3 linked regions of the Drosophila melanogaster genome follow. The protein of the gene in region 1 interacts with the protein of each later gene in a pairwise test. Each region holds a gene or a part of one and is shown in the gene's direction. Other genes may lie near its edges. The genes, in order: Taf12, CG5662 and Alg13.

Region 1 (3,759 bases):
CAATAATGGCATTTTTACAGAGCAAACGGCACCTATATTTAAGGGTATGTTTGTTAACACTAAGAAATCCTTTATAGAAGAAGTGAGCAAGTTTGACGGTGTGGATGAGTACTTGCACAAAATGGTAAGTCACTTTACTTTATTCCTTGTAACTAACTTAACAAAATCATATTTTGCAGCCAGAGATCTTGGATACGTATGTCGACAGAATACTTGAAGATGCCAAAATAAATGAACAAGCGTTTAATGTGCTCAATCATGGTGATGCCTGGATAAATAACATCATGTTCCAATACGAATCAGATGGTCGCGTCAAGGAAACCCTCCTGTTGGATCACCAAGTCACGAAGTATGGAAATCCTGCCCAGGATCTGTATTACTTCATAATGAGCTCCACTCAACTGGACATCAAAGTCGATCAGTTTGACTACCTTATCCGATGGTATCATCAAAACATGAAGGAGCACGCCAAGCTGTTGAACTACAACGGATTTATTCCCTCGCTAAAGGAACTGCACGCCATTCTGATACAGCACCCCATTTTTGGTAATTTACAGAAGGATTTGAGGTTTTTAAATTCCTCTGACTGACATGTTTTTCTTCAAGCTGCTGGAACTGTGCTCACTACCTTGTCGATGTGTCTTAACAAGACAACCGATGACTTTACCACTGATAGCTTTTTGGGAAATGAAGAGAATGGCAAATCCCTGAGGGAGGCAATGTTTAGCAACGAACGTTATAGGGCCAATATAGAGCGTGTCATGCCATGGATAAATAGACGAGGACTGCTTGATAATTTTGCCAACGGACATTCCCAATAAATACTTTACTTCAGACAAATTTCAGGTTATTTACTATTTAACAAACGACTAAATAAATGTGTGATCACAATTCTAACTTGCTCAAGAGAGCTTACATTTGTATTTCCTACTTTTCTTACTTGAGAGCAAATTTCACGGCCACTACAATACTTGAAACAAAGATTAGTGCGAGGGCCAGCTTCCTAAGATTGGCACGATTCACACCTTTGATGGTCCGTACTACTTCTATATTTAAGCGAAATACGTTGCGACTTTCCTCAATAAAAGCAGCACGCAAATCATCGTCAAAAGCTCCGTAGTGATTGTTGAAAACGCGCCTTAGTTTGGCCTTTAAGACAGAGATCTGAAAGTGGATATAAAGACAATAGATATAAGGAACAAAGTAAAAAGCTACGCACCTTCTCAGGAAAATATGTGGCCTCACATCCCGGCGGGCAAATGGTAACCTGGGCAGGCATTGGCCTGGCCTCCAAGTCGTCTTTGTCTACAGAGCCATCGGCAGCTCTGGCGGTGGCCAACTCTGCCTCCTTGTCGGCCTGCTTCTGCTGCTCCTCGTCATCGTTCTTTGAAAAGATCCACATTTTACGAGCGATCATACGCTTCTTCTGCAACATTTGTCCGCCGGACATCAAAGCCATGTACATCTGATAGGAGTAGGCGAACAGCAAGAGTTCGTTCTGTGCGGCAATCTTTTCCAGATGCTCGAGATATTTCTGGACCGCCGGGCGAATTTCGTAGTCCTTCCTCCAATCGGAACCGTAGAAATAGGCAAAATCCCTTTCAAATGCCGCTGTTCTGTGGAATTCTTTGGGCAGCAGGCGCTCCGGCAGATGGGTCTCAAAGAATTTGTACAGTTCGTAGAAGGCCAGGAGTCCATCATACCAGACCTCGTCATCAGAAAGGGCTATGGAAGAAGAGGAATATCTAATAACTTCTAATAATATCGTGTAATTAACGAACCAAGTGCGATCTTTGCATTCACTAGAACATCAGTAAGATTATGCACATCTTTTGTGGCTTTACGCAACTCCTTTGTGAACGCCATGTCTACGAATTCCACATCCTCCACATTCTCGGAGACCTGACTGTCCGCTATTGTTTCTTCGCTCGCTGACATGTTTCTTTTGCGCAGCTATTGTTCCCAATTACAAAGTAAAATATATTCCTTATCTACGTGATATTTGCAAAATACGCCGTCTTTGTTTTGTTTTGAACTCCACGCCAGTGTGGCTGTCTAACTAAAATATACTGAAATTAAACGTAAATATACCAAATTGCTTTATAGCACCAGCGGGCATTTCAGAGTCGCCTGCAACTGGCCATACTGTTGATTTGGCTGTAGTTGCTCCGCTTATTTTTATTTTGTTTAGTAATTTAGGAAAGTAATAGTTTAAGATCAAAGTGTTAAAACCGCAATAATTGTAAGTGTTGCATGCGCTAAGAGCAACTGCTAAGTAACACTTTAGTTTTAGTAAACACACAAAGCGACGGATTCTTAAGACCGCACGCGTGAAATTGACCACTCTATTCTTTTACTTACATTTCGCTTTGCAACCAAACACCCACGCACACACAATCACCGACTGCAGTTGAGAAAGCAGGAGGACACACAACATAAGCAGCAACAACAACAAGTACACTAACGCTTTTGGCTTTGGTTCTGCACTCTTACCCACTCCCCAAAAATCCGCCCAACTTACTGTACTTTCCCCAAACACTTCCAACCAACCGACCTACCACCCACTTGATTTGACTCTGAAGAAACCCAAAAGCAATGTCGGATCTCTTTACCACTTTCGATAGCAACGGCGTCGCCGAGCACCACCTGCACCACAACCACAACTCCACATCGTCCGCCAGCGGACTGCTCCACGACCCACCCATGGCCTCGCCCTCCCAGCACAGTCCGATGACCAACAACAGCAACTCATCCTCGCAGAACGGCGGACCGGTTTCCGGTTTGGGTACGGGAACGGGCCCCATATCTGGTGGTAGCAAGTCATCCAATCACACATCATCCGCCGCCGGTTCCGAGAACACTCCCGTAAGATGCGTGCCTTATGGAGTGCACACGGAATACGCCAGGGTCTAGTTTAACTCTCTTCCGAATTACAGATGCTTACCAAACCGCGTCTCACAGAGCTCGTCCGAGAGGTGGATACCACCACGCAGCTGGACGAGGATGTTGAGGAGCTTCTGCTTCAGATCATCGACGACTTTGTCGAGGACACCGTCAAGTCGACGAGCGCCTTCGCCAAGCACCGAAAGTCTAACAAGATCGAGGTGCGCGACGTGCAGCTGCACTTTGAGCGGAAGTACAACATGTGGATACCCGGCTTCGGTACGGACGAACTGCGTCCCTACAAGCGGGCAGCTGTCACGGAGGCGCACAAACAGCGCCTTGCCCTCATACGGAAAACGATCAAGAAATACTAGAGGATTGGATCTAATCGGGTCGAGGCTCTGTTTCGGTTTGCCGGATTTCGCGTATGCTAAACGTGCACACGCCACAAACTAATTTAAGCTCCAATTTAGATTAAATAACAAATTATCGTCGCTCTATTGTAGATTTATTGTAATAAAAGTGCACTATTGATTTCACATTCAACAATTGGTCACCGTCAGCAGTAAATTTTAAGTCGTGATTTTTTAATCACAGTTTCTAATGGTTCTGTAATATTTGTATTAATTGTTTGTCTGGTGGATATTGATTTATATTTTTCATAATTTAACAATTTCTTCAGTTTATTTTAAAAATATTTGTGTAATATTTCCCTTTGAAAATAATTAGCGGACTCTGCTGAACGCACCCAATTAATTGCTGTATTTTTTAACAACGTGGTATTTTTTTAATGACCGAACGGTATTTTCCATCTCTCGCATCAAGGTCATACCATCAATAATGTTGATTTTCTGATTGTTGATTTAAAATTAAAAA
Region 2 (3,503 bases), on another chromosome or scaffold:
TTCACCTCCTTTCTCCGTAGGTCGTAACTCTCGCACACACACACACACAAAATAAGAAAGGAGAAAGCGAATAAGACACAGTGGCACATATACGCACAAAAGTCTGCTGCTTGTCGACATTTTGGTAATAAATTGAGTTTTATGGCAGTCATATTATTCTTTATTAGTGGGTAAGAATTGTTGCCTTTTGTTGGCTTTTGTTGCCGAAACGATGTCTCAACCAGGCCAACATCCTTGCCATCCCGAGCATACCGAGCATCGTGAATCCTTAACCCACAATGGCTAGATATCACTGGTTCGGTTCCGAAGTGCCTACTCTGTGTGGCTTAATTAATTTGGCAGTGTTTTGCGACTTGGTTGTCAATGGATTGGACGGAATTCCCAGTAGCCCTCGACCGAATCAATCAACGACAACGCCACGGCCCTCGTATATTTACTCTTTCATTTCCCAGTAACGTGGCTGGTAAATCAAAAACTCTCATCCAAAATTCGTTACTTGGCGTTAAATTAGTCTCGGCTTTCGAACTTCGCGGGCATACTAATCAGGTCCAAGGCGTCCGCCCAAAATGGGATAATCCGTCAATCGAAGCTCGCAATTTTCACAGCTGTCAACGCAAGTCAGATTGGTTATTTCAAATAGCATTGCCTAGAAGTATAATAAAATGTTTTAAAATAAACATTTCAATACAAAACAAATGGTAAACGGGCTTAATTATTATTAATTATTTTAATTATTATTTCGATATTTCATTAAAGTGTTTCTTTGTTAAATTAGAACTTTCGATTTGGTGCAGTATTTCGAGTTTCTTTCCGTGTAGCGATGTATTGTATCATCAAGGCCATTCAATTAGCAATCATGGAGAGCCCGCCAGCTTCTCGTACCTGATGATCCATGAAACGTTCGAATAGAGAGCGCCCAAAACTTTTGCCTCATTTCCGGAAGCACTCGAGTCCTGGATCAGAGGAGCCACAAAACTGTGCATAATGCTCCGCCCGAGCAATTTATCATCCTCAGTTCCAGTTCCCGCGAGGCTGTCGGCCAAAAACCAGCGGGCGGTAGTAGAAAAAAAATTTGGCGGCGAGTGGGCCGAAACCTTTTTGGTGGGGGTGCCAATGGAATGTGGAAGGGCGGTGGCCGATGATTAATTGCTTGAATGTCCAGTCGAGCAGAAAATTCACAAAACATTTCCATCATCAAAGCACACAACTGATTTTTCTGTGGAAAAGTGAATCCTGTCAACGATGAAACGAAGGCAGACAGCTCTTTAAGTCCAATGTAGGAATATTGCTCTCTGTCAGTTTGATTTCAAGTTATTTGCCTAATTGCGAGTATAGTTTATTTGCTTTCACATTTATTCGTTGCTAATTGCACATTTCAAGTTTCAATGCCTTTCATTGCAGACTAATTAAATGCTTAAATGCCATATATTTGCTTTCACTTAACAACTGCTTGTACGCATGAACAAAAAACAATCAATGGATAGACATAACTGAAAGTAAACAAGTTCAAGGGAAATTTCTGGAAATATAAAATTATGAAATAAATCAGACACGAAAATTAGGTAAGTTTCGTCAATAATTGTTGGCTCCTGTCATATTAATTAGGTGGGAATTACAGCGTTTATTATTGAAATTTATAAAGTCATATATGTAAGTTTACAATGCATTACTTTTATTTTATTTGAATTGTGGAAGAATTTGCTTTTAAGATTCTTTATTTTTTATTTAACATTTATTTGCAACCCATTTATAATATTCCGAATTCTAGCAGTAATGTACTCAAAAGTTGACTGATGAAACGTAAACAAAAATTCTTTCTCACAATATATGAAAATATTAATATAGCCATCACTGCCACAATTGTCACTTCAACAATTCCATAAAAAGAAACCCACAGTCAAAATTTTCGGCACTTTAAGCATGGAGTTGGAACAAAACTTGACCGCCGCCCTGATGCAGTCGTCGGCGGAGGAGGGCAAGTCGGAGGAGGCGTGGCCGGCGGACGCCCACCTGCATCAGCCGGCCGAGGCGAATCAGCTCCTGTTGCCGGAGCGCTCCAGCTGCCTGGCGGTGAAGACGTTTTTGCGCATGTGCAACCTACCATTTACGGAGCACATCAGCGACAATGCAGAGTTTATGTCACCAGGTGGCCGGTTGACCCACCTGCCGCTGCTCCGTTTGGGCCCTGTCAAGACTTTTGCGGAATTCGAGCCAATAGTGGCCCAAGTGGAGGCCGTGCAAGGCGGCAATTGCCTGGACAGTTGGATGTCCGAGGATCAGCGCGATAACATCCGCTGTCTGGTTAGCTATGTGGAGAATGTCTTCACCCTGGCGGAGATTCATATGAGTTTTGTGGATGAGGTAAACTATCAACTTTACACGGCAACGCGCTGTGCAGCCGCTCATCCGTGGCCGTTGAGTACGATTCGCCGGTTTGCCAAGCAGAAGGACGCACAGAAGATACTGAAGGTCTACCGGTGGCAGGATTTGGACAACGACCAGGTAATCCAGGAGGTGAGCATCTGTGCCGATGCGTTGATCGCTGAACTGGAGGAGGACCAGGCGAAGAGCTATTTCGGCGGCTCACGACCTTGCAAATTGGACGCCCTGGTCTTTGGCCATGTGGTAGCCATAATGACCACCAAGCTTCCCAACATGGAACTGGCCGCGGTTCTGGCCACATATCCACGTCTATTGGCCCACTGTCGCCGCATCGATCAGAGCCTGTTTGATGGCAAACTCCTGACCAGCGCGGTGGAGGAGCAGGAGGACGAGATGGAGTTGGAAAAAATAGAATAAAGGAAAGGGCAGGACTCGGAATCCCTCTGCCCCGGAACAAAGGATTCTTATTGTTTTTTTATTTGGCCAGGGTCGGGAAGGCAATCAAAAATATGCAAAGCATTTACAATAAAAACGGCAGACAAGTCGGAGGAAGAGTGGGTTTTGCATGGGGTGTGGCACGGGGAAACTTGAACCAGAGTTAAGCCAGCGCACAATGCCATAAAATACAGCAACAGACAAGGCATTTAACACTGAAAAAATAAAGTAAAGAAATCAAACAAATAGAAAGCAAGTAAATCCAAAATAAATGATTGTTGCAATTTTTAAATTAGATATTCATTTTAGAATAATCCCGGTAATAATGAAGTTTACACTTACAAATTTGCAATTATAGTTTCTAAATGTGGAGTCATTACTGGCGAGTCATAAAAATCTAATTTTTTTATTGCGAAAAAATTGGCCTCTTTTATATTTCGAGTGTACTAGGCAGTATTTTCGGCGCGGGCTGGCATTCAATTTAAGTTCGCCCTCGACTTGTAGGTTCGATTTTATGACTGGCCCAAAGTCACCAATCTCAATGCAGAGTTCCCTGGGAGAAGAGTTTACGGGTCTGCGGGACTTCAGTACTCCGGCTAACCCGTGTGACATGGCCGCATCGTTCGGACAATCAGGGAACCATCATCGACATCGACTAGGTCCGCTGTCAGCCAGCTCCCCATGTT
Region 3 (3,263 bases), about 17 Mb from region 1:
TGCAAATACGCCCGCCGGCTAATTGAGTTATGGCATTAATTTGATCAGCTTCTGTAGCATTTGCAGCATCTGCAGCTCCCTGCTCTTTCTCCTTCGGCTGATGATGCTACTGCTGCTGCTGTTTTTGCAAATTGCTGCAATTAAACGCCGACAACCATGTACAGAAGTCAACCCCGTCGCTGGCTCGATGACCTTCATTAAAATAAGGCTGCAAATGATACGCCGCCTCCATCCGCCTCAGCCCACTCCGCCCATCCCATCCCGCCTCCATGGGGTCCGTATCCCTGGGTCGCTCGCGCTCGTTGGGGATCCAATTTATAGCAATATTTCATTGATAAACTGCGTGTAAGCCGCTGGCGATGTGTCAGCATATGGCGATGGATAAGGCTAGTACACTTCGATTCACGCATTATTTGCTGGAAATCTTCAAAATTCCTAACTAATTAGATCGGACATATGTAACTTTGCTTAAAGTGAACCTTTTCATTTTGATCAGTGGAACCAATTTTATAGGACTAGAATGTACGGTTTTCTCACAGTGCAGACAGTTAATAAACACAAGGACATGAACGCCTGCGAGTGGGAAAGCGAATATTGACAAATCATTGGGAAAGTTGTGGGGGGGGGGGTGATATGGGAAGCAAAAGGGAATCAAGAGACAGCGGAGACAAGTAAATATTGGTTCTTCACACGCCCACAATTAAGACATTAAATTTAAATCGCGCGGCCTTTTACTCGCTATCAAAACAAAAACAAAAACAAAAACAAAACCAAAAACAAGAAAAAAAGAGAGCGCCAATTTATTGACCGTTGAGTGATGGTCCACGCGTGTGTAAGTGTGTGGGTGTGTATTCTGGAGGGTGGAACCGAGGGCCTGGGGTGTTGGAAAAATAGAATAACCGATCGCTGGGCAACTCGATAATTTGCACGGGTGCTCTAATTGAATTTTGGGGCAGTACCAGATGATTTCTGCAAATTTGACTAGTAAATAAGCGGGAGATCACCATAAATTGGCGATCATAAGGAAAGGAAAGTTTCTGGCTGGCTAATTTATGGGTCCTGCGTGAGCGTCTTGTTCTCGTAATATCGAGCATTTGAGGCTAGAAAAGTGTTTGTTTTTTTTTTATTTTAATCGCTGCCAGATGGCAGGCAAACTTGAAAAGCGTTTGCCAAATAAACAAATGGGGAGGGTGCAGATATAAAAACGAAATTAAACGAAGTGTTGATTAGTCAATTACCTTCCGACGTGCAAACCGCAGCCGGCAAGCAGAGAAAGAAATATCAAAGCGAAACGCACATGGCAAATGGATATTAAAATTGTTGTATTACTTGTGCACCTAGGATAATTAAGTACTTGAAGCGTTTTCACTGCACAAAAAGAAATGTGCTCAAATCGTTTAATGTACTTATATTTTTAGTTTAATGGTGGTGCAAAATGATCGCCATGCCAGTGCATTTTTCTCAGTGCACACACACGCACAAATCGCCCACACACACACATACGCAGCATTCGAAACGTGGGAATAATTTAATTTACCGTTTCACCTCCGTCCTGGAAAACCGTTTGTCGGACTCTTTCGCACCTTTACCGTTACGCTGGCGCGACACTGATTTGTGGTCGGTCACCAACACAAGCGCGCACACACTGTTGGCAGCCTGGCAGACGCCTAATTAATTGAATTAAATGTAAACAAATCACTTGTACTAAGGCCGAGCTGCCAAACTAATCAAAATGCAATTTGCCAAGGGACTATCACTAAACGGAGCACAGTTCTTTCGCGTATTTTCCCGACGAGCGCGGGCACAACCGTAACGGCTAACGGTTGAGAACTGAATAAGCGGAATAAACAAGCTGCGATGGAAATGGAATGGAAGCACAATGAGCGAGATGGCGATCGCGTGCGCCAAATTCGCACTTTGGCTGCGTGAGAGCAAAATAAACTGAGCGCTGTGAAAGCGGAATACTTACGTTTAAAATTGAATTTAAGCATTTTGCTTAAACAAGTATTGCTTAAAACTATTTCACTACTCTTTTTACTTATTTACTGCACTCCTAGTAGATAAAGTAACGGTTATGGCCGGTGTTTCGAGCTTCCAGGCTGCCATTTATTTGAACGTCGTATGAGTTACGCCGGCTGAATGGCAAAGGCGAAGAGGAAGCACAACTCGTAACAGCTGTGTCTTGTTGTTTAACTATTTACAGAAAATGCATTTGAACACTGTTTACATTACCGTTGGTACCACCAAATTCGATGCTCTAATATCAACTGCATCCACGGAACCCGCACTCAAAGCTCTACAGAACCGGAAATGCACCAAACTCGTCATACAGCACGGAAATTCGCAACCATTAACAGACGATGAAATACAATTGATAAGAAAAAACTACGGAATCCAGATAGAGCAGTACAATTTCCGGCCAAATACGGAGGACATCAAGTCCGCAGACCTAATTATTGGACATGCGGGAGCCGGAACTTGCATGGATATACTAAATAACCAGAAACCTGGACTCATTGTGATAAATGACACGCTCATGGACAATCATCAACTGGAGTTGGCCAAGCAACTGGCCGCTGAAAACTATCTGTATTACTGCAAAGTTACCGACGTGGATGCCCAGCTAGCTACTCTGGACTTTGAAGCCTTAAAGCCCTATGAAACGAAACCGGAAAATCTTAGCAAATTCGTTTCCGCCATCAATCAGCTGATGTCCCATTGACTCCCAATAAGCATTCCCAAATGCAAGCTTCTTTTGGTGCCAACCCCAAGGGGTTAGCCTTTTCTATTTATTTGAGTTTACAAGTATAGTTAATAAACAGGAGAACGTCTACGAAGAACATTAAATATTGTTAGCAATCTAACGTTTGCTGGGGCTATACGATATACATACATAGATAAATTCACGACAATTAAACATTAAAACGTACATATATGTTTGTTACTGTAACTGGTAGATTCCACTTATTTGGATAGTTAATTTCATATAACGCAATGAGACTCTCAACGTGCTTTGGTTGTTGCTCTGACCGATATTCCGCTTTATTTACTCCTCGGCGGCGGCAGCTCCGTTTTCTATGATGGCATCAAACGAGAAGGGTTGGAAGGCGTAACCCTGGCCCTTGTAGAACTTGCTCTGGAACTCGACCCTATGAGAAAGCCGTTCAATTAGATACCATTTCATACTTCTCGAGGATTAGGTGACTTACCAATGGAGACGCAGGGTGTGCAGGAAGGCAGACAAGCCCTCCATGAGTACCAGA

What was found.
Region 2: the proteins of Taf12 (region 1) and CG5662 interact in a two-hybrid assay, tested with the Drosophila melanogaster proteins (one large-scale study listed by BioGRID).
Region 3: the proteins of Taf12 (region 1) and Alg13 interact in a two-hybrid assay, tested with the Drosophila melanogaster proteins (one large-scale study listed by BioGRID).

Annotation. Positions count from the first base shown.
Region 1 is NT_033777.3:11,678,050-11,681,808, reverse strand, and holds Taf12 (TBP-associated factor 12), read left to right. Parts: upstream 1-2,118; 5' UTR 2,119-2,242; exon of another isoform or gene 2,243-2,410; 5' UTR 2,411-2,595; coding exon 2,596-2,865; intron 2,866-2,936; coding exon 2,937-3,257; 3' UTR 3,258-3,423; downstream 3,424-3,759. Other genes in the region: CG6830 (uncharacterized protein), read left to right, coding at 1-124, 180-546, 607-821; Ho (heme oxygenase), read right to left, coding at 937-1,164, 1,220-1,725, 1,782-1,938. UniProt on the Drosophila melanogaster protein: TFIID is a multimeric protein complex that plays a central role in mediating promoter responses to various activators and repressors.
Region 2 is NC_004354.4:15,208,536-15,212,038, forward strand, and holds CG5662 (uncharacterized protein), read left to right. Parts: upstream 1-1,850; 5' UTR 1,851-1,920; coding exon 1,921-2,799; 3' UTR 2,800-2,932; downstream 2,933-3,503.
Region 3 is NT_033777.3:29,137,470-29,140,732, reverse strand, and holds Alg13 (Alg13 UDP-N-acetylglucosaminyltransferase subunit), read left to right. Parts: upstream 1-2,159; 5' UTR 2,160-2,206; coding exon 2,207-2,722; 3' UTR 2,723-2,763; downstream 2,764-3,263. Other genes in the region: superdeath (suppressor of ER stress-induced death), read right to left, coding at 1,970-1,991; Vha100-1 (vacuolar H[+] ATPase 100kD subunit 1), read right to left, coding at 3,047-3,149, 3,210-3,263.